Macaca fascicularis: one gene and its partner. The protein of the gene in region 1 binds, or shares a complex with, the protein of each later gene. Links are inferred from orthologs where the notes say so. Each region holds a gene or a part of one and is shown on either strand. Other genes may lie near its edges. The genes, in order: APOBEC3F and CBFB.

Region 1 (8,825 bases):
AGGAGACAGTTGAGTGCTGCTTTATAATTTCCATGGTGAAGCACAGCCAGGTTTCATTCCGACCATAGGCTTTCCGTAGGTTTTTAAAGTGGAAGTAGAATATGTGTGGATACGTTGCCTCCATCGGGTTTCTGAGGGCACAAGGGAGAAACCCGCCAATGCAGAGACGCCCCCCCCGGAGTCCTGGGGGCTGATGCCCGCTGAACATCACTCCCTGGACTGCCCTGGGCTCTGGGCCTCCCCCATCCCTCCGCAGCCCTGAGAATGTCTGCTGCTTTCCCAGGCAGGATGATTTGGAGAGAGAAAGAGGAGGGGATACTGGCAGGGGCAGCAGGGCCGGAGTGACCTCTCCCAGCTGGAACCCCAGCTCTGGGGCTACCAATGGGACACCCTTAACCTCCCAGTTTTTCTGCCACACATCTCCCAACCCATTAGGAAAATGCAACAGACAATAAAACTCTCCAAACTCAAATAATTGCTTGAATATTTCAGCTCAATTCCTTCCTCACATTTCACCTGTCCGATGATGATTATTATTTTTACATTGGGATCACACCGAATACTCTCCGTTTTTTTTTTTTTTTTCTTTTTGAGACAGAATCTCGCTGGCATCCAGGATGGAGTGCAGTGGTGCGATCTCGGCTCACTGCAAACTGCACCGCACCTCCCATGTTGAAGTGATTCTCCCACCTCAGCCTCCTGAGTAGCTGGGATTACAGACTTGTGTCACCACGCTTGGCTGATTTTTGTATTTTTATTTATTTATTTTTATATGGGGTCTCACTCTTTCACCAGGCTGGAGAGGAGTGGCGCGATCTCGGCTCACTGCAAGCTCCGCCTCCCGGGTTCACGCCATTCTCCCGCCTCAGCCTCCCAGTAGCTGGGACTACAGGCGCCCGCCACCTCGCCCGGCTAATTTTTTTGTATTTTTTTTTAGTAGAGATGGGGTTTCACCGTGTTAGCCGGGATGGTCTCGATCTCCTGACCTCGTGATCCACCCATCTCGGCCTCCCAAAGTGCTGGGATTACAGGCAACTTTTTTAATTTTTAGTAGAGATAGGGCTTTACCATGTTAGCCAGGATGGTCTTGAACTGCTGACCTTGTGATCTGCCCACCTCGGCCTCCGAAAGTGCTGGGATTAGAAGCGTGAGCCACCGTGCCCAGCACTAGTTTTTGTATGTTTAGTAGCAACCGGTTTTCATCATGTTGGCCAGGCTGGTCTTGAACTCCTGAACTCGTGATCTGCCCACCTCAGCCTCCCAAAGTTCTGGGATGACAGGCGTAAGCCACTGTGCCTGGCAGGTCCAGGCCACTCTCGTAAGTGCTGCATATGTCTGAGCTCATGGCACGTCCCTGAGGCCTGCAGGGGCCATCCTATTTTACAGAAGTGCCAGAGGCACAGAGAGGTAGGGTAACCTGCCCAGGTCACAGAGCTGGGGATGGATGGAGCTGGGGCCCCTTTCCATGCCAGTCCTGTCCAGCCTCTGCATCACAGGCCCTGTAGCAGGGAGCTGTCGGGAACCGGGTTCTCTTCTTACTAAACTTTAAAATAAGAGCATTACTCCTGATCATCATATTTTTTCCTACATTCCAGGTTACATGTGTCATTCTAAAAGGTGAATGGTGCTTACGGAGGAGGAGCCTGTGTCTGGGGTCATGTGCATCCTCCTCTGCTCACACTGGAGGCATCTTTGGAAGAAATGACATATTTTCTGGTACAGAGACCATTCCCTCCCCCACACCCTCTCCTAAGACTTTGTGTTGAAACAAAGTAAATATTACAGAAATTTCATCAAAGTGCTGAGAACAAAATGCCGGATTGCTCCAATCATCCTTTGGTTCAATTCTCCCAGTTCCAGAGCTCAGGAATGGTGGGAAGCACACAGAGGGAGCACCCTCCCAGGGTGGGGAGCACCAGCCCAGTGGTGATTTTCTGGGGAGAGTCTGAGCAGGGGGCCTGGGCTGGGGCAGGTTGGGGAGGCGGCCCATTCAGAAGCTGCAGACCGGTGACCACATAGCAGGGCAAAGAGCCTGGCTGGGAGTGGGAGCAAAAGAGAAGAGGGCAGAGAGCAGAGGGCAGAGAGCCTAGGGCTGGGGCTGGGGCAGGGGGAGGCCAGGGCTGAGGCCCAGCAGGGCCACCAGGCAGGAAGGGGCAGCAGAGGCCCCGCGGGCAGAGCGCACAGTGGTCCCTGATCTGGGGCTTCACATGCAGCCTCCTTGGCAGGCTTGTCCTGGCCCTGATGTTAGTCCTGGGCTTGGGTTCTATTTCTATCTTCCAGGGCCCTTGTTCCAGGAGGCACCTGCGCTGTGAGTGACCTCCCAGGCCCATCTGAGTGCCGGCCTCACTTCAGGCTGCTTTCTCACCTGGATGGGAGGACCTCCAGAGAGACCCCTGGATCCTGCCCTCAGGAATCATCCCAGGGACGCCCCCCACCCAGCAGCTATGTGGTAGGGAGGGAGAGTGAGGGGCAGGTGTCTGCCTCCCCCCATACCCTCACACTCAAAGGCCACCATTGGAGGGAGGAATAGCTGGTGGGGGGGCCTCAGGTGTCCCACCAGGATGTCATGCGTACCCCCACACTGAGCTCCTTCCTTCCACATCTCCTGCCTAGAGTTGTTCCCTGGCTGGCTGAGCTCCTGTCTATATGTGATGAAAGGGCAGAGCTTGGTGTCCCTGGCCACCCTGTCTTGCAGTTTGCTCTTCCGGTCTAAGACCCAGGTGCTTAGTTCCCGTCTCTCCCAAGGGCCTTAGATGATCTCTTTCTATGGCCTGTCTGGTCCCTGGTTGCCTTTTTCTATTGTGCTTCCTGGAAGGTTCCTGGCATCTCAAGCCTCCCGTTATCCAAGCCTACGCTTTTGTAAAATCTCACTCAACACCTGGCCAACACTGCAAAACCCCATCTCTACTAAAGATACAAATATTAGCCAGTGTGGTGACATGTGCTTGTAATCCCAGGTACTTGGGAGGTTGAGACAAGAGAATTGCTAGAACCTGGGAAGCAGAGGTTGCAGTGAGCCGAGATCGCACCACAGCACTCCAGCCTGGGCGACTGAGGGAGAGGCTGTCTCAAAAAAAAAAAAAAAAAAATTTATTCACATGGGACCTTGATCACTGAGTGTTTGGCTCTTTCTGCATCTCCATCCTGTGGGGAGGATTTGAGAAGTGACGGGTGTGAGCAGGAGGCCGGGCTGCGTGCTGTTGGGTGGGGAAGCCATGGGGTGCGGCCCAGGGTGCAGCAAGGTCTGAAGGGAGGGGCTGTGAGGGTCAGGACAGGACTCCTGGGAGACAGACACACAGAACGGAGATCCCTGCATACACCACCCAAGCTTGACCCAAAGCCCCCTGGGTCGTTGTCATGGGCTAAATTGTATCTTCCCAACATTGATATGTTGAAGTCCTCATCCCACCTCCTCACAGGATAACTGTATTTGGAGACAGGTCCACTAAAGTGGTGGTTAAATTAACTCATCGTCCTTAGGGTGGGCCCTAATCCTGTCTGACTGGGGACCATAAACAAGGAGGACATTTAGAGGCAGATAGACCCTAGGGTTGCAGGTGCACAGAGGAACGGCCAGAGAGGACAGGGCCAGGAGGAGCGGCCGCAGAGGACACAGCCCCGCCCACCCCTCCACCCTGGACTTGCAGCCTCCAGATCTGTGAGAAAATAAATGCCGGCCCTGTGGGCACCCGGCCCAGGCCATCTTCTACGGCAGCCGAAGCCTGAAGCTCTGTTCCCACAGTGGCGGCTCCTTCTCAAGGGCTCAGGTCAGCCTTGAAGGATGTTGCTCAAAGCTTCTGGCTGTCGAGCTTGTGAATATTCACGCCCACTTACGTCCAGTGTTATGACAAATTCGGTTATGCCAGGGAGATGGAAGGAGCCAGGTTGGGGATCCCAGGCTGTGGGGAGGGCGGCCTCGGGGGTGGATGGAGGTCGCTCTGGAGGCCGAAGGGGCCTCTCACTCACAGGAGGGGCCCAGGAAAGCAGGGAGGAGGCAGGGAGGTGGAGGAAACACGAGGAGTTGGGGTGAGGGGGTGTAACTATGAGGGCAGGCAGGGGGCAGAAGGGAGGGCAGGAGGGCCTGGCCAGGGGAGGCCTCAGGAGGATGAGCAGGAGGTGAGAGGAGAGAGACCATGAGGCCAGAGGGAGACCCTCACCTGAGAATCTCCTTTAGCTTGTGGTGCAGGAATGCATAATTGTCATCGAATTTGTCCCAAGGCATGAATGACTGACCTTCATTGTACACAAAGTTTTCCCAGCAGTATGCAAATTCTGACATGAAGAGGCAGGAAGCAGTCAGGCTCTCCCCTGACCCTGGTCCTGCCCTCCCAGGCCTGCTCTCCTGGTGGTCAGTTGTGGTCAGCCCTGGCCCTGCCCCTGTAGGTTGCCCTGGGACGCCCCCAGCCATGGCATTGCAGATCCATCCATCTCTCATGCTGTTCCACCCACTCACACTCCCCTGACCCCTCCTCCTCTCACCTTCATAGTCCATGATCTTCACTCGGGCCCCTGCCTGACGCAGCCTGCAGAGCGCCCTGCGATAATCTGTTTCCCAGTAGTAGTAGAGGCGGGCGGCAGAGATGGTCAGGGTGACATTAGGGTGCTCAGCTAGGAATTCGGCCACCTTCGCCACACAGTCTGGGCAGGGGGTCCAGGATACAAACCAGGTGATCTGGAAGCGCTTGTAAGCAGGCAGCTGGTTGCCACAGAACCGAGAGAGGAAGCACATTTCTGCGTGGTGCTCAGGCTTGGAATACACCTGGGAGAGGAGCAGGGGCAGGGGATGCTCTGAGAGGGGGAGCAGGAGGAGAGGGCAGGGTTGGGGCAGTGGGAGGAGGGGCCAGGACAGGAGTCCAGGGGATCTTGCCACTGAAGCTCCTTTCCTCCATCCCCCTGATTAGTTTGAGTGATTGTCTGCTCCAAAGCTCATGCTCAGTGTTAATTGCTATGGTAATGGCCTTAACCATAACCATTACCATTAACCATTAAGAGGTGGCACATACAAGCGGCTATGAGGTTGTGGGGACTCCACCTTTGTGGGTGCCACTGCTGTGGTTATTCAAGGGCGACTTTAGCCCCACTTTCTGTCTCTTGCCCACTAGCTGGAGGGGCAGTGTGTAAGATTAAACTCCTGCTTCCTCTTGTCCCCGTGGCATGGAGCAGCAGTGACCCGACATCCCAGGCCACTCTGGCTGGAGCATCCCCGACCTTCTGGCAACAACCTTCACCCCCACGTGACTGTGCAGCTCGCAGGCCCTGGAAAGTCGCTGGTGCCTTGACAGTGGATTTCCCAGCGTCCAGAACTCGAGCCAGCACATTTCTATTCATTGTCAATGTCTCCGTCTCAGTCCTGCTGTTGAAGCATCACAAGGTGCACCAAGACACGTGCTTCCCTTTTTTTGGGAGTTTTCCCAGCCCTGTTCACGGCCTCGTGCGTGAATTCTGGCATCCATTCTCCCAGGCATCCATTCACCAGGCATCCTCAGCCCCTGCTGTGGCCTGGCCCTCTGGGGTCTGCCTTGTTCCCTCCCTGCCATCTCCTGGAGAAGCCACTGGACTTGTGCTCTCCCATGTGGTGGGGGGCACTGGGCAAGGGGGTTACTGAGCACTTGAAATGGGGCTCTGATGAGAGACCTGGGCACCTGAAAAATACATTATACACCGCTCATTTCTCTTTTTGTTGTTGTTGTTGTTGAGACATGGTTTCACTCTTGTTGCCCAGGCTGGAGTGCAATGATGCAATCTCAACTCACCATAACCTCTGCCTCATGGGTTCAAGCGATTCTCCTGCCTCAGCCTCCCAAGTAGCTGGGATTACAGGTGACTGCCACCACGCTTGGCTAATTTTTTTGTATTTTTAGTAGAGATGGGATTTCACCATGTTGGCCATGCTGGTTTTCGAACATCTGACCTCAGGTGATCCACTGGCCTCAGCCTCCGAAAGTGCTGGGATACAGGCGCCAGCCACCCCACTAGCATGGCTTACACGGCTCATTTCAAAGACTCAGCATGACAAGAAAAAGAAACTTCACTATCTTGTCAAGAATTTTATGTTAAATAATCTTGAAGTAATGTTAGCGACATTGGATTGAATAAAATATTAAAAATAGGCCGGCACTGTGGCTCACACCTGTAATCCCAACACTTTGGGAGGCCGAGGCAGGTGGATCACCTGAGGTCTGGAGTTCAAGACCAACCTGGCCAACATGGTAAAATCCGGTCTCTACTAATGATACAAAAAAAAAAAAAAAAATTACCCACACATGGTGGTGGGCACCTGTAATCCCAGCTACTCGGGAGTCTGAGGCAACAGAATCGCTTGAACCCAGGAGTCAGAGGTTGCAGTGAGCTGAGATTGCGTCATTGCACTCCAGCCTGAGCAACAAGAGAGAAACTCTGTCTCAAAAAAAAACAAAAACAAAAAAAAACAAGGCCTTTTGTGCAGAGGCAAACCCCCTCCACGATCCGATCCCAGGATGGTCCAGCGGGAAGGTCAGGGCCACGGACTTGGAAAGTGTGGGAGAGAACGACACCCTGGACAGGCCGCCGCCGGGCATTTCACTCGTCAGTACGTGGTTTGCTTTCCCAGCTGGCTTAGCTCCTGCCTGTAAAGTGATTGGAGTCTGGGTGGTACCTGGCCTCGAAAGATCTTTGTGCCCCAAGTGGGCACTGAGGGGCCCCTTGTTTTCACTTCGTAGCACAGCCAGACGGTATTCCGACGAGAAAGGATGGGTCTGTTATTAAAGTTGTAGAAGAATGTGCCTCGATACATTCGCTCCACTGTGTTTCTGAAGACACAAGAGAGAAACCAGCCAATGCAGAGAGCGCTCCCAGGAGCCCTCCGCACTGATGTCCGCTAAACACAGTTCCCTGGACGGCTCTGGGCCTCCCCCATCTCTCCACAGCCCTGAGAATTTCTGCTTCCTTCCCAGGCAGGAAGACCGGGGAGAGAGCAAGAAAAGGGGGTGCTGGCAGGGGCGGCAGGACCGGGGTGACCTCTTCCCGCTCGGGGCCCAGCTCTGGTCATTCCAGGGGTACATTCCCCACCCTCCCGGTATTTCTCCCACCTACTCTCCAACGCATTAGTAAAATGCAAAAGAGAATAAAGTTATTGGCTGGCCTTTATGGCTCATAACTGTAATCCCAGCCTTTTGGGAGGCCGAGGTGGGCCGATCATTGAGGTCAGGAGTCTGAGACCAGTCTCATCAACATGGTGACACCCAGTCTCTACGAAAAACACAAAAATTAGCCAGGCCTGGTGGCGGGTGCGTGTAATCCCAGCCACTCAGGAGGCTGAGGCAGGAGAATCACTTGAACGTGGGAGGCAGAGGTTATAGTGAGCCGAGATCGTGCCATTACACTCCAGCCTGGGCAACAAGAGTGAAAATTCATCTCAAAAAAAAAAAAAAAGATTAAAAAAAATATTTTTAAATAATAATATTTTTTTAAAAAATCATAGATTTTAACCTTTCAGCCAGTTCCTTCCTGACATTTCACCTTAGTATATTACTATTTTTAAATCACGGTAGAACTGAATTCTGAGGCCCAGGCCACTCTTCTAAGTGCTGCGTGGGTTTAAACTCATGTGAGGCTGCCCTAGGCCTGCAGGGGCATTTCCCATCTTATAGAGGAGGGGCCAGAGGCGCAGAGAGGTGGGGTAACCTGCCCAGGCCACAGAGCTGGGGATGGATGGGGCTGGGCCTCTTATCAGACAAGCCCTATCCAGTCTCTGTATCACCGGCCCTGCAGGAGGGAGTCACTGGGGACCGGGCTCTCTTCTTACTAAATTTTAAAATAAAAGCATTTCTCCTGATCATGGAGGCTTTTTTCCCCCATATATTCCATGTTTTTTGTTTTGTTTTTGCTTTTGTTTTCTTTTGAGACTAAATTTCACTCTTGTTGCCCAGGCTGGAGTGCAATGGCACGATCTCGGCTCACCGCAACCTCCACCTCCTGGGTTCAAGCGATTATCCTGTCTCAGCCTCCAGAGTAGCTGGGATTACAGGCACCCGCCACTGCACCTGGTTAATTATATATTTCTAGTAGAGACAGGGTTTATCCATGTTTGTCAGGCTGCTCTCAAACTCCCGACCTCAGGCGATCCGCCTGACTCAGCTTCCCAAAGTGCTGGGATGACAGGCTTGAGCCACCGTGCCCAGTCACTATATTCCATGTTACTGGTGTCATTATAAATGGTGAATGCTGATCGTAGAGGAAGAGTGTGTGTTTGGGGTCATCTGCATCCTCCTCTGCCCACAGTGGAGACATCTTTGGAAAACATGATTTATCTTGTGCTTCAGAGACCATTCCCTCCCCACACCCTCTCCTAAGACTTGGTATTTAAAGCAAAGTAAATCTTACAGAAAATCCATCGAAGCTCTGTGAACAAAATTCCACATTGCTCCCATCATCCTTTGGTTCAATTCTCCCAGTTCCAGAGTTCAGGAATGGCAGGAAGCACACAGAGGGAGCACCCTCCCAGAGCAGGGAGCACCAGCCCTGCCATGACTTTTGGGGGAGAGTCTCAGTAGGGGGCCTGGGCTGGGGCAGGTGGAGGAGGCGGCCCATTCAGAAGTAGCAGTGGGGCGACCACAGAGCAGGACAAAGAGCCTGGCTGGGAGTGGCGGGGGCAGGGGAGTCAGAAGGGAGGGATCCCAGGGCTAGGGCTGGGGCAGGGGAGTGGGGGACCAAGGTTGAGGCCCAGCAGGGCCACCAGGCAGGAAGGGGCAGCAGAGAGGCCCAGCGGGTCGAGCAGGCAGCAGTACCTGAACTGAGGCTTCATCCTTGGCTGGCCAGTCCCGACTATGATCTTTGTCTGGAGCAGG
Region 2 (9,396 bases), on another chromosome or scaffold:
AATCCCAGCACTTTGGGAAGCCAAGGCAGGCAGATCACGCGATCAGAAGCTCGACACCAGTCTGGCCAACGTAGTGAAACCCCATCTCTACTAAAAATACAAAAAATTAGCTGGGTGTGGTGGTGTGCGCCTGTAATTCCAGCTACTCGTGAGGCTGAGGCAGGAGAATCGTGAGAACCCAGGAGGCGGAGGTTGCAGTGAGCCAAGATCTTGCCATTGCACTGCAGCCTAGCCGACAGTATGAGACACCGTCTCAAAAAAAAACAAAAACAAAAAAAACAAAAAACCGTGAAACCCTGTCTCTACTAAAAATACAAAAACAAAATTAGCCAGGCGCGGTGGCAGGCGCCTGTAGTCCCAGCTACTCGGGAGGCTGAGGCGGGAGAATGATGTGAACCCAGGAGGCGGAGCTTGCAGTGAGCTGAGATAGGGCCACTGCACTCCAGCCAGGGCAACAGAACGAGACTCCAACTCAAAAAAAAAAAAAAAAAAAATTCGTAAGAATAAATCAAAGCTGGGTGCAGTGGCTCACGGAAGCAGGCAGATCACTTGAGGCCAGGAGTTGGAGACCAGCCTGGCCAACACAGTGAAACCCATCTCTACTAAAAATACAAAAACCAGACAGGCATGATGGCAGGCACCTATAATCCCAGCTAGTCGGGAGGCGGAAGCAGGAGGCGGAGGTTGCAGCGAACGGAAATGGCACCACTGCACTCCAGCCTGGGTGACAGAGTGAGATCCAGTCTCAAAAAAAGAATAAATCAGATTCTACCACAGATTCTTCTACTGGTGTTCACTTTTATTTAATGCTGATTAGGTTTTACAGTTAAAAACTCAATTGGCATAAAATAAGGGGGCTGATTTTTATAGTTAGAGATGATCAACACATCCTTAAATTATTTCACATCTAAATGCAAATGGGAATAGTTTTGAGAACTGTGGATATTCTTGCCATTTATGGCTGCTGTCAAAACAGGCAAAATAATGCCTTTTTCCACAGCCAAATAGAAAGAAACCATGGCCTATTCATAAGTAATAAGATAAATTTCAGGCATTAAATTAACTAGCCTCTAAATTCAAATAATCAAGTACCTATGGTATTGTGCAAAATACCTGTATCCAGAGGGGTTTATACAGAATTAATAAGGTCTCCACCCTCTAGGAGCTAAGGATCCTGTAATTAAATGTGGGTTAACACTAAATTAAAGGAGGGAAACTAGAAAGAGAAAAAACTAGGAAATGTGAAATTCCTCTCCAAATACCAATAGTTACATTACTTAACAAAATAAGACCTGTGTCGTCTTAAGTGCAAACCTCACACAGCATTCAATCTACCTTCTTTAACCTTTAATACTTTTCAGAAATTTAAAACTTATAAAATGTGTCGGATCAGACATTTGTTTTATTTTTGGAGACAGGGTCTCACTCTGTCACCTAGGCTGGAGTGCAGTGGTGTGATTATGGCTCACTGCAGCCTCGATCTCCCAGGCTCAGGTGAGGATCAGATATTTGGAAGCAGGAAAAGTCTAGAATGTCTAATTCATCCTGGAAAGAAATTTAAGACAAACACTAACCACCTATAACACTACTATAATATTACGGCATTTCAGATATCCCATGGGTTGAATTCATAATTCCATTCAGCAAAGTCTGAAATGACAGAAAACACCCTACTAGCTATGATTCACCATTCCAAAAAAATTCAGCTTTCAAAAATAGTGATAATAATATAATACATGGGGCGGCGTATGGTGACACCGAGCCTGGTAGTCCCAGCTATTGGGAGGCTGAGACAAGAGGATCGCTTGAGCCCAGAAGTTTGAGGCTGTAGTGCCTTATGATTATGTCTGTGAACAGCCACTGCACCCCAGCCTAGGCCACACAGCAAGACCTCTCTCTTAAAAAAAAACAAAACAAAACAAGGCCGGGCGCGGTGGCTCACACTTGTAATCCCAGCACTTTGGAAGGCCGAAGTGGGAGGATCATTTAAGGTCAGGAGTTCAAAACCAGCCTGGCCAACATGGTGAAACCCTGTCTCTACTAAAAATACAAAAAAATTAGCTGGGCGTGGTGGTGTGTGCCTCTAATCCCAGCTACTCAGGAGGTTGAGGCAGGAGAATCGCTTGAACCTGGGAGGCAAAGGTTGTAGCGAGCCAAGACTACATCATGCTGCTGCACTGCAGCCTGGGTAATAGAGCGGGACTCCATCTCAAAACAAACAAAAAAGCAAACATTGACAGTACAAATACTTTGTATCTTATCTTTTATACTTGCATCCTTTACCTCCAGGAAATTCTATCCTCAAGTGTACCACCTTCCTTTTGCAAAAGGTAACCCAGGCAAAGGATGACACGATCATCGCACCAGCTAATGAATTATTTTCTTATACCACTCAGTGACAAAATCTAAAAGCATGTCTTATGCACTTCAATCATATAAATAATACAATTACTCAAGAAACTTGCAAGTGGGCTAAAAGCTTGAGACTGTCTTTCATAACATGCACTAATGACCAAATATTCACGAGCTCCTATAAATTTAACCAGTATCTTCTATTACAATTCTAAAAAGCCTTCACTTAAAATATCAAGATATTCTTTAAAATTAAATTTGAGTTCAGTGATGAAAAGGAAGAGTTTTATGGCATAAGAATTATATCTGAATAAAAATAAACTGGTTTTATAAAGGGGGTGGGAGGAGTAAATTTCCAATATGTCTTCCTACTATTAACCCAAATTCAAATCGCATCTAACTTCAAGCCTCTGACAATGCAATAGGTCCAAGTCACCCAGCAGATAGTAACAGCATTCCATTAGACAGCGCTTTAACTTTTTAAAAAATAATCAGGCCGGACGCAGTGGCTCACGCCTGTAATCCTAACACTCTGGAAGGTCGAGGAGGATGGATCACTTGAGGTCAGGAGGCCAGCTTGGCCAACATGGTGAAACCCCGTCTCTACTGAAAATACAAAAATTAGCCGGGCGTGGTGGCAGGCACCTGTAATCCTAGCTACTCAGGAGGCTGAGGCACGAAAATCGCTTGAACCCAGGAGGCGGAGGTTGCAGTGAGTGGAGATCGAGCCACTGTACTCCAGTCTGGGCAACAGAGCAAGACTCTACCTCAAAAAAATAATAATCAACCTCTTTTCTCGGTTTCTTCCTACCATTCTCTCCTCATCAGCACCTCCAACAAGGCAAACCAAAAGGAGATGAGAGGAACTAGGACCCTTGAATTTTTTTCTTCAACCCAAGATCTGGTGAAGACACACCAAATCTGCCTCCTAAAACGAGGACCTCGAGATCAACCGTGAGTTTCGCCCATCTGTGCATTTTAGGAACGGCAGCCCTACTCGAGACATGTGGATAATGGTTTATTTCTGATTCTCCTGAAGCTTAACATTCTAAGAAAATGACACTTTTAAGGCCTTTCCCCCCCGTTTCCTCTCTATTAGGACAATACATAACTGGAGAAAAGATTTCTTCTCGGCGATCTGGGAGTGAGACCGCTTGACAGAGAATCACCGAGAGCTCACCTTTTAAGAAACAAACTATCGCCGACCTTGAATGAAGCTCCGGTTGTTTTTCCGAATGGGGGTTTGCTTGCTTGCCACAAATACCCTGAACCCTTCCTTGGTGTAGCCGCCTAAACAATGCCCTTCACTTGTTTAGTCTGGCTCGGGTTCGAGCCCCACTCGCGGTGCTCCATTGGCCGACACGCGCCACCGCGGCGGGCCCCAGGGAAAGCGTCTCCTCGCGAGCACCGGCCCGCGGCGTCTGGTTTCGCATTTTGAAACCCGAGTAGGAAGTGAGACGGCGCCCGCTCAGTTCCGGGAGCCGCGGCAGCCGCGCCGCCGTCCGGAACCGGCCTGGGCCGCGGCCGCCCGGCGCAACAAGTGACCCGCGCGCGCCCCTGTCTGCGCCCCGGGCCCGCCGACTTACGATTTCCGAGCGGCCGTCGCGGCAGGCGTTCTGGAAGCGCGCCTGGCGCTCCTCGTGGGGCCGGTCCCTGAAGCCCGTGTACTTAATCTGCAAGGCAAGACGGCCCGAAATCAGGAGCCAAATCCGCGGCGCCGCCCGCGCGCCCGCCCTCCCAGCGCGGCGCCGATAAAGGCAAGCAGAGGCTGCGGGCGACGGCCGCCCAGGCGAGATTGCCCCTCCGCAGGCGCGCCGACCGGGACTCCCGGGGACCGCGCCGCCCAAACTTTTCTTCGCCCGGGCCCACTCGGGGCGCGCTGCGGCCTCCTAGCCGCCCGCCCGCCTCACCTCACACTCGCGGCTCAGCTTCCTAAAGAACTCCTCGTTCTCGAACTTGCTTCTCTGGTCGGGCACGACGCGCGGCATCTTCCCGCCCTGAGGCCGCGCCGGCCAGCCGCGCTCGGGGCTTGCGCGGGCACCCGCTGGCTGGCTCCGCGCTGACCGACTGACCGCCCACCCGCGGCGCCCGGACGCCCGCTTCCCTTTGTTTCAGGCGCCCGCCCGCGTGGGCTCCCGTTCCGAGGAGTCGGAGGCGCAGCTGCCCGCTCGAACCCAACCCACGCCGCCGCCGCCGCCGCCTCAGCCGTTGCCTGCCGCCCGCGCAGCCCCAGCTCTCGCCGCCCCCGGCCGCCGCCGCCGCCGCCACTTCCTCTCACCGCCCACCCCGCCCCCGGCGGCCCCACCCCTCCTCCTTGCGAGCCCGCCCGCCTCCAACTCCAGCAAACAAGACGCACCATTCACAACTCCGCGGCCCGCGCCGCGCATGCGCCACCCGCCCGCTGGCTAAGCAGCGGGGCTGTGGCGCCCCGGGGCTCTTTCCGCAGCGCTGCCCTTTTCCCGCTGCTCGCCCGCGATCACTCGGCGTGGAGCTGCCGTGGGGGGATCCGCCTGCCTTTTAGCAGACGGGAGTAGCTAACGCAGGCCTTTTCTTCCGCCCTTCCTCGGCCATCTGGAACTTCTGGGTTCCCCAGGTGCGCGGAGTAACCCCAGATTGTCATTTGAACGCGAGGAAACCTAAGTCCTTGGGGACTTTTCGTCCCTAAACCGACCGGTAGGGGTGTAGGCTGTGCACGTTGAAGACTGAGGTGGAAATGGACCGAAGAATCCAACCAAGGCATGGTGGAAAGGTCGTGGCTGTTGGAGTCAGATGGGTCTTAGATGGGATCCCACTCAGCTACACTACCTGCTGGCTGGGGCCTTAGACAAGAACTGGACCACTAAACCTCAGTTTCCTTATTTCCAAAATGCAGACACTCCTAAGTTTGCAGTGTTAGCGTGAGAACTGTTATGTGGGTCTAGCACACAGTGGGAGCCCAATAAATTTAAGTTTCTAAAGAAGAACAAGCTGCGTTAAGAATGTAACCGATTGCCAGTCTTACTCAGTGTGCAATCAGCTGCAAAAAAAATAAGATCCATAAGTTCTAGGGAAGTCGTTTAGCCCAAACTGGAGAAAGTCTGACATGGGATTTATGGCAGAGTTTCATTCAAAGTTAGTCCTGTGGCCGGGCGCGGTGGCTTATACCAGTAATCCCAGCCTTTTTTTTTTTTTTTTTTTTTTTTAAACAGAGTCTTGCTCTGTCGCCCAGGCTGGAGTGCGATGGCGTGATCTCGGTTCACTGCAACCTCTGCCTCCTGGGTTCAAGTGATTCTCCTGCCTCTGCCTCCCGAATGGTTGGAATTACAGGGGCCCACCACCATCCCCGGCTAAATTTTTTTGCATTTTTAGTAGAGAAGGGGTTTCGTCGTGTTAGTCAGACTGGTCTGGAACTACTGACCTCAGATGATCTGCCCGCCTCGGCCTCCCAAAGTGCTGGGATTACAGGCGTGAGCCTCTGCGCCTGGCCTAATCCTAGCACTTTGGGAGGCCGAGGCGGGCTGATCACCTGAGATCAGGAGCTTGAGGCCAGCCTGGTCAACATGGCAAAACCCCATCTCTACTAAAAGTACAAAAATTAGCCAGGTGTGGTGGCACACGCCTGTAGTCTCAGCTACTGAGGAGGCTGAGGCAGGAGAATCGCCTGACCCCGGGAGGTGGAGGTTGTAGTAGCCGAGATGGTGCCACTGCACTCCAGCCTGGGCCACAGAGCAAGACTCCATCTCAAACAGCTACTCGAGAAGCTGAGGCAGGAGGATGGGTTGAACCTGGGAGGCAGAGGTTGCAGTGAGACAAGATCGTGCCATTGCACTCCAGCCTGGGTGACAAGAGCATAACCCCGTCTCGGGGGGGGGGGGGGGGGGGGGGGGAAGAAAACTCCATGAAGAAGCACTCTTGTTCCACAATGGGTCCAAGGAGGGCTCACAGACCTCCAAGTTGATCTTGGCCAAAGACTCCAGCAATAATTGTTTCTGCCATGGGAAATGTGGAATAAATAAAAGTTGAAAGATCTCTAGAATGGCCTTGATGGCCAGACAGACACTATGAGCTTAGACAAGGTCAGGGTCAAGGGAGCTGGACCTGGAGGGGTGGGAGTACAGAGCAGGGCAGGGCGCTCTCATTGTCAGCCTCATGGAGGGGAGGAATGATGTCCTAAGGGAAAGGGACAGCAAAGCCTGCCAAGCAGACCCAGAACAGCAGCCCCACAGACAGCCTTGGGCAACTGCAGGCCACAGGGTAACCCACACTCGGTGTAGTCTGGCATTCAACAGCCAGGATGACTGGGAAATAAGCCACATACTGAAGAAGGCCATCTCCTCAGCTAACCTCTATATGCCTTTTTGGTGGTGGTTTAAATTTTTTTCACTTCTTTTAAAAAACTGAATTAAAGGAAATTTATAAAGGAAACTTTCACCCATGTAAGGTACACTTAAGTCTGTGCTTCTAACAGCTTTGGCAGCTGTTGAGTTGGGTATGGGTTAGCCCAGACACTATGCTATGGGTGTTTGCTAAGGGGGTTTGCTAAGATCCAGCTCTACTAAGGCCCACACATGGAAGCTTGCAGGTGTCTCTTCTGTGCCAAGAAACATCTGCCCCCACCGTCCCAAAACCTGACTGAATTATCTGAAGTCCTATCATCTGGAATCTTCCTTTTGTAAGGATTCAAGCCAACCAAGGGTCTTCTCTGAGTACCTCCCTAACTTCCTAGGTGGGTGCCTGCTCCTGCAGACTCCTAAAGCTGATCTTAGGTGGGTAAATAGATAATACACAATGAAGCTGAGCAGAGTGCAGGAACCTTCACTTGCCTAGTGCAACTGTGAAGCTCTGTTCAGGGTGCCTTCATGCACCTTATCTCAGTTAGTTCACACAACCACCTCCTTTTTTTTTTTCTTTTTTTGAGACAGAGTCTTACTCTGTTGCCCAGGCTGGAGTATAATGGTGCGATCTTGGCTCACTGCAACCTCCGCCTCTCAGGTTCAACTGATTCTCCTGCCTCAGCTTCCTGAGTAGCTGGGATTACAGGCGCCTGCCACCACGCCCAGCTAATTTTTGTATTTTTAGTAGAGAAGGACAGGCTAGTCCCGAACTCCTAACCTCAGGCGATCTGCCCGCCTCAGCCTCCCAAAGTGCTGGGATTATAGGCGTGAGTCACTGCACCTGGCCCACACAACCATCTTCTAAGTCAGGTCTCATGTCTCCATCTGAGAGATGAGGAAACAGACTTTGAAAAAGTAAATAAGGCCAGGAGCGGTGGCCAGCCTCCATTTTGTTATTTCAAATGGATCAGGGTCTCGTCACTGTCCTTTTGTACTTTCTCTTTTTTTTTTTTTTTTTTTTTTTGAGAGAGAGTGCATACCTGTAATCTCAGCACTTTGGGAAGCAGAAGTGGGAGGATCACTTGAGGCCAGGAGTTCGAGACCATCCAGACAACAGAGTGAGACCCCCTACCAACTCTAAAGAAACTAGCTAAGCATTGGGATACATCATCTTCATTCCTTCCTATAAGTTTAGTATTATTGATCCTATTCTACAGATGGGCCAACTGAGATTCACAGGTGCTAAGTGACCCCATGGTGGTGATTTTAATCATTCTACTCTGAGACCTAGTGGAGATACCAAAAGTCCTGCCTGCCACCCTCACTGAACTGCACACTCGTAGAAGGCTATGTCTGGGGTTATTCCTCTGGGAGCACCCCAACATGTTCTAGAAGGGTTCCCACAGGTTGAAGAAAGGGGTTCTATTGTGGGCCTTGTGGCAAGATGTGGGTCTGCCCTTGAGGGCTGTGCATTCCTACCTCTGAGCCTGTTTGTCCCTTCTTGACTTGGAAGATCGAAATCTAGATGTCCTGCCTCCACAGGCCCAGCAGGAAGGATGGTTTTATCCAGGACTGGTGTCAGCAGCCACCCATCTTTGCCTCTCCTCACAGAGGAGGTCTCTGAGCCTCTGATGCGTTTTTTCTAAGGAAATAGTTTCCCTTCAGTTACTGAGAAAATATTGTACCATCTTGAAGTTGAAATAGGATCTGGAGCCACAAATGAGACTTGAGAGGAGTGGGAGACAAGGAAAATTAGTGGCTGGCACATTGCCTAAAAGCCTGGCTCCACTCAGCTTCTAGTTTTTAGAAGACAATGGGCCTTAATCCAGGATAAGGGTGTCATCTGCCCAAGTGTGGCAGTTTCCTGGGCCCTAAAGAATTTTTTTCTTTTTGAGATATAATTTATATACTGTAAAATCCACTCTTGGGCCCAAAGAATCTCCCCTCCCTCCCAGGGGCATCTCCCTCTTCTGAGCCCCCCAGCCACCCTCCCCCAGCTCAGCCATCCCATAGGGAAAGGAAAGCAGAGAGGAGCAAGTTTCCCCAGAATAGCATTTCTTTAGTGTTGGGATCAATAAACCCGTTTGCTTAAAAGGAACCAGATGATTTCATCCTTGTAATTATAAGTTTGACGTTTGCAAATCTTGCCCGGGCTCCAAATGAGCCTCTTTGTCATCGGGGTTGGGGGTGGAGGAGTTTGTCTGGGTGCCTGGGGATGGCAGGACTCAGCCTACTGTGGTGGGAAGAGTGCCAAGCTGGGGTCGGGAAGCCTGGCTGCTGATCTTAGAGGGCTGCCTTGGACTGCTCTCCTTCCCCTCCCCTGCTCTCCTAGTTTCTGACAAGTGATGGGAAACAGACTAGACTAGGGGGCTAGGAAATAATAATAATGGTAATAACGATGATAATGGTAGTAATAATAATAATATAATGTGGTGAGAGCTGGGGTAAGCTCTAACCACACCATGCTCCTGCTTAAGACCCCTCCCCCAAGACTGAAGAAACTTAGGGCAGAAAGACAAAGGCCCTCAGCCTAGCATTCATGACCCCCTGACAATCCCTACTTTCCAACACTATCTCCTATCGTTTCTCCCCATGGCACCCTGCAATCCAGCCATACTGGCCTGTTTCCATTCCCCACATGCCCATACCATGACTTCCTTCTGTTTCTCTACTGGGAAAACTCATCGTTCTTCTTTCTTTCTCTTTTGGGGGAGGGTCTTCCTGTTTCACC

What was found.
Region 2: the proteins of APOBEC3F (region 1) and CBFB are in contact, whole or in part, in a cryo-EM structure (PDB 6NIL), measured with the Homo sapiens proteins. The link is inferred for Macaca fascicularis from reciprocal best matches to the Homo sapiens genes APOBEC3F and CBFB. Residues at the interface, in NP_660341.2 of Homo sapiens: Glu289, Leu291, Ala292, Arg293, His294, Ser295, Asn296, Glu324; in NP_001746.1 of Homo sapiens: Phe32, Asp34, Arg35, Arg43, Glu54.

The regions. Positions count from the first base shown.
Region 1 is NC_088384.1:12,617,321-12,626,145, forward strand, and holds part of APOBEC3F (DNA dC->dU-editing enzyme APOBEC-3F), read right to left. Parts: 5' UTR 8,783-8,825; coding exon of another isoform or gene 8,766-8,782; intron 8,615-8,765; exon of another isoform or gene 8,542-8,614; 5' UTR 8,412-8,541; coding exon 8,362-8,411; intron 6,789-8,361; coding exon 6,635-6,788; intron 5,643-6,634; coding exon of another isoform or gene 5,331-5,642; exon of another isoform or gene 4,809-5,330; intron 4,760-4,808; coding exon 4,480-4,759; intron 4,273-4,479; coding exon 4,158-4,272; intron 132-4,157; coding exon 1-131.
Region 2 is NC_088394.1:63,040,093-63,049,488, reverse strand, and holds the start of CBFB (core-binding factor subunit beta), read right to left. Parts: upstream 4,616-9,396; 5' UTR 4,341-4,615; coding exon 4,263-4,340; intron 4,026-4,262; coding exon 3,939-4,025; exon of another isoform or gene 3,533-3,938; intron 1-3,532. UniProt on the Homo sapiens protein: Forms the heterodimeric complex core-binding factor (CBF) with RUNX family proteins (RUNX1, RUNX2, and RUNX3).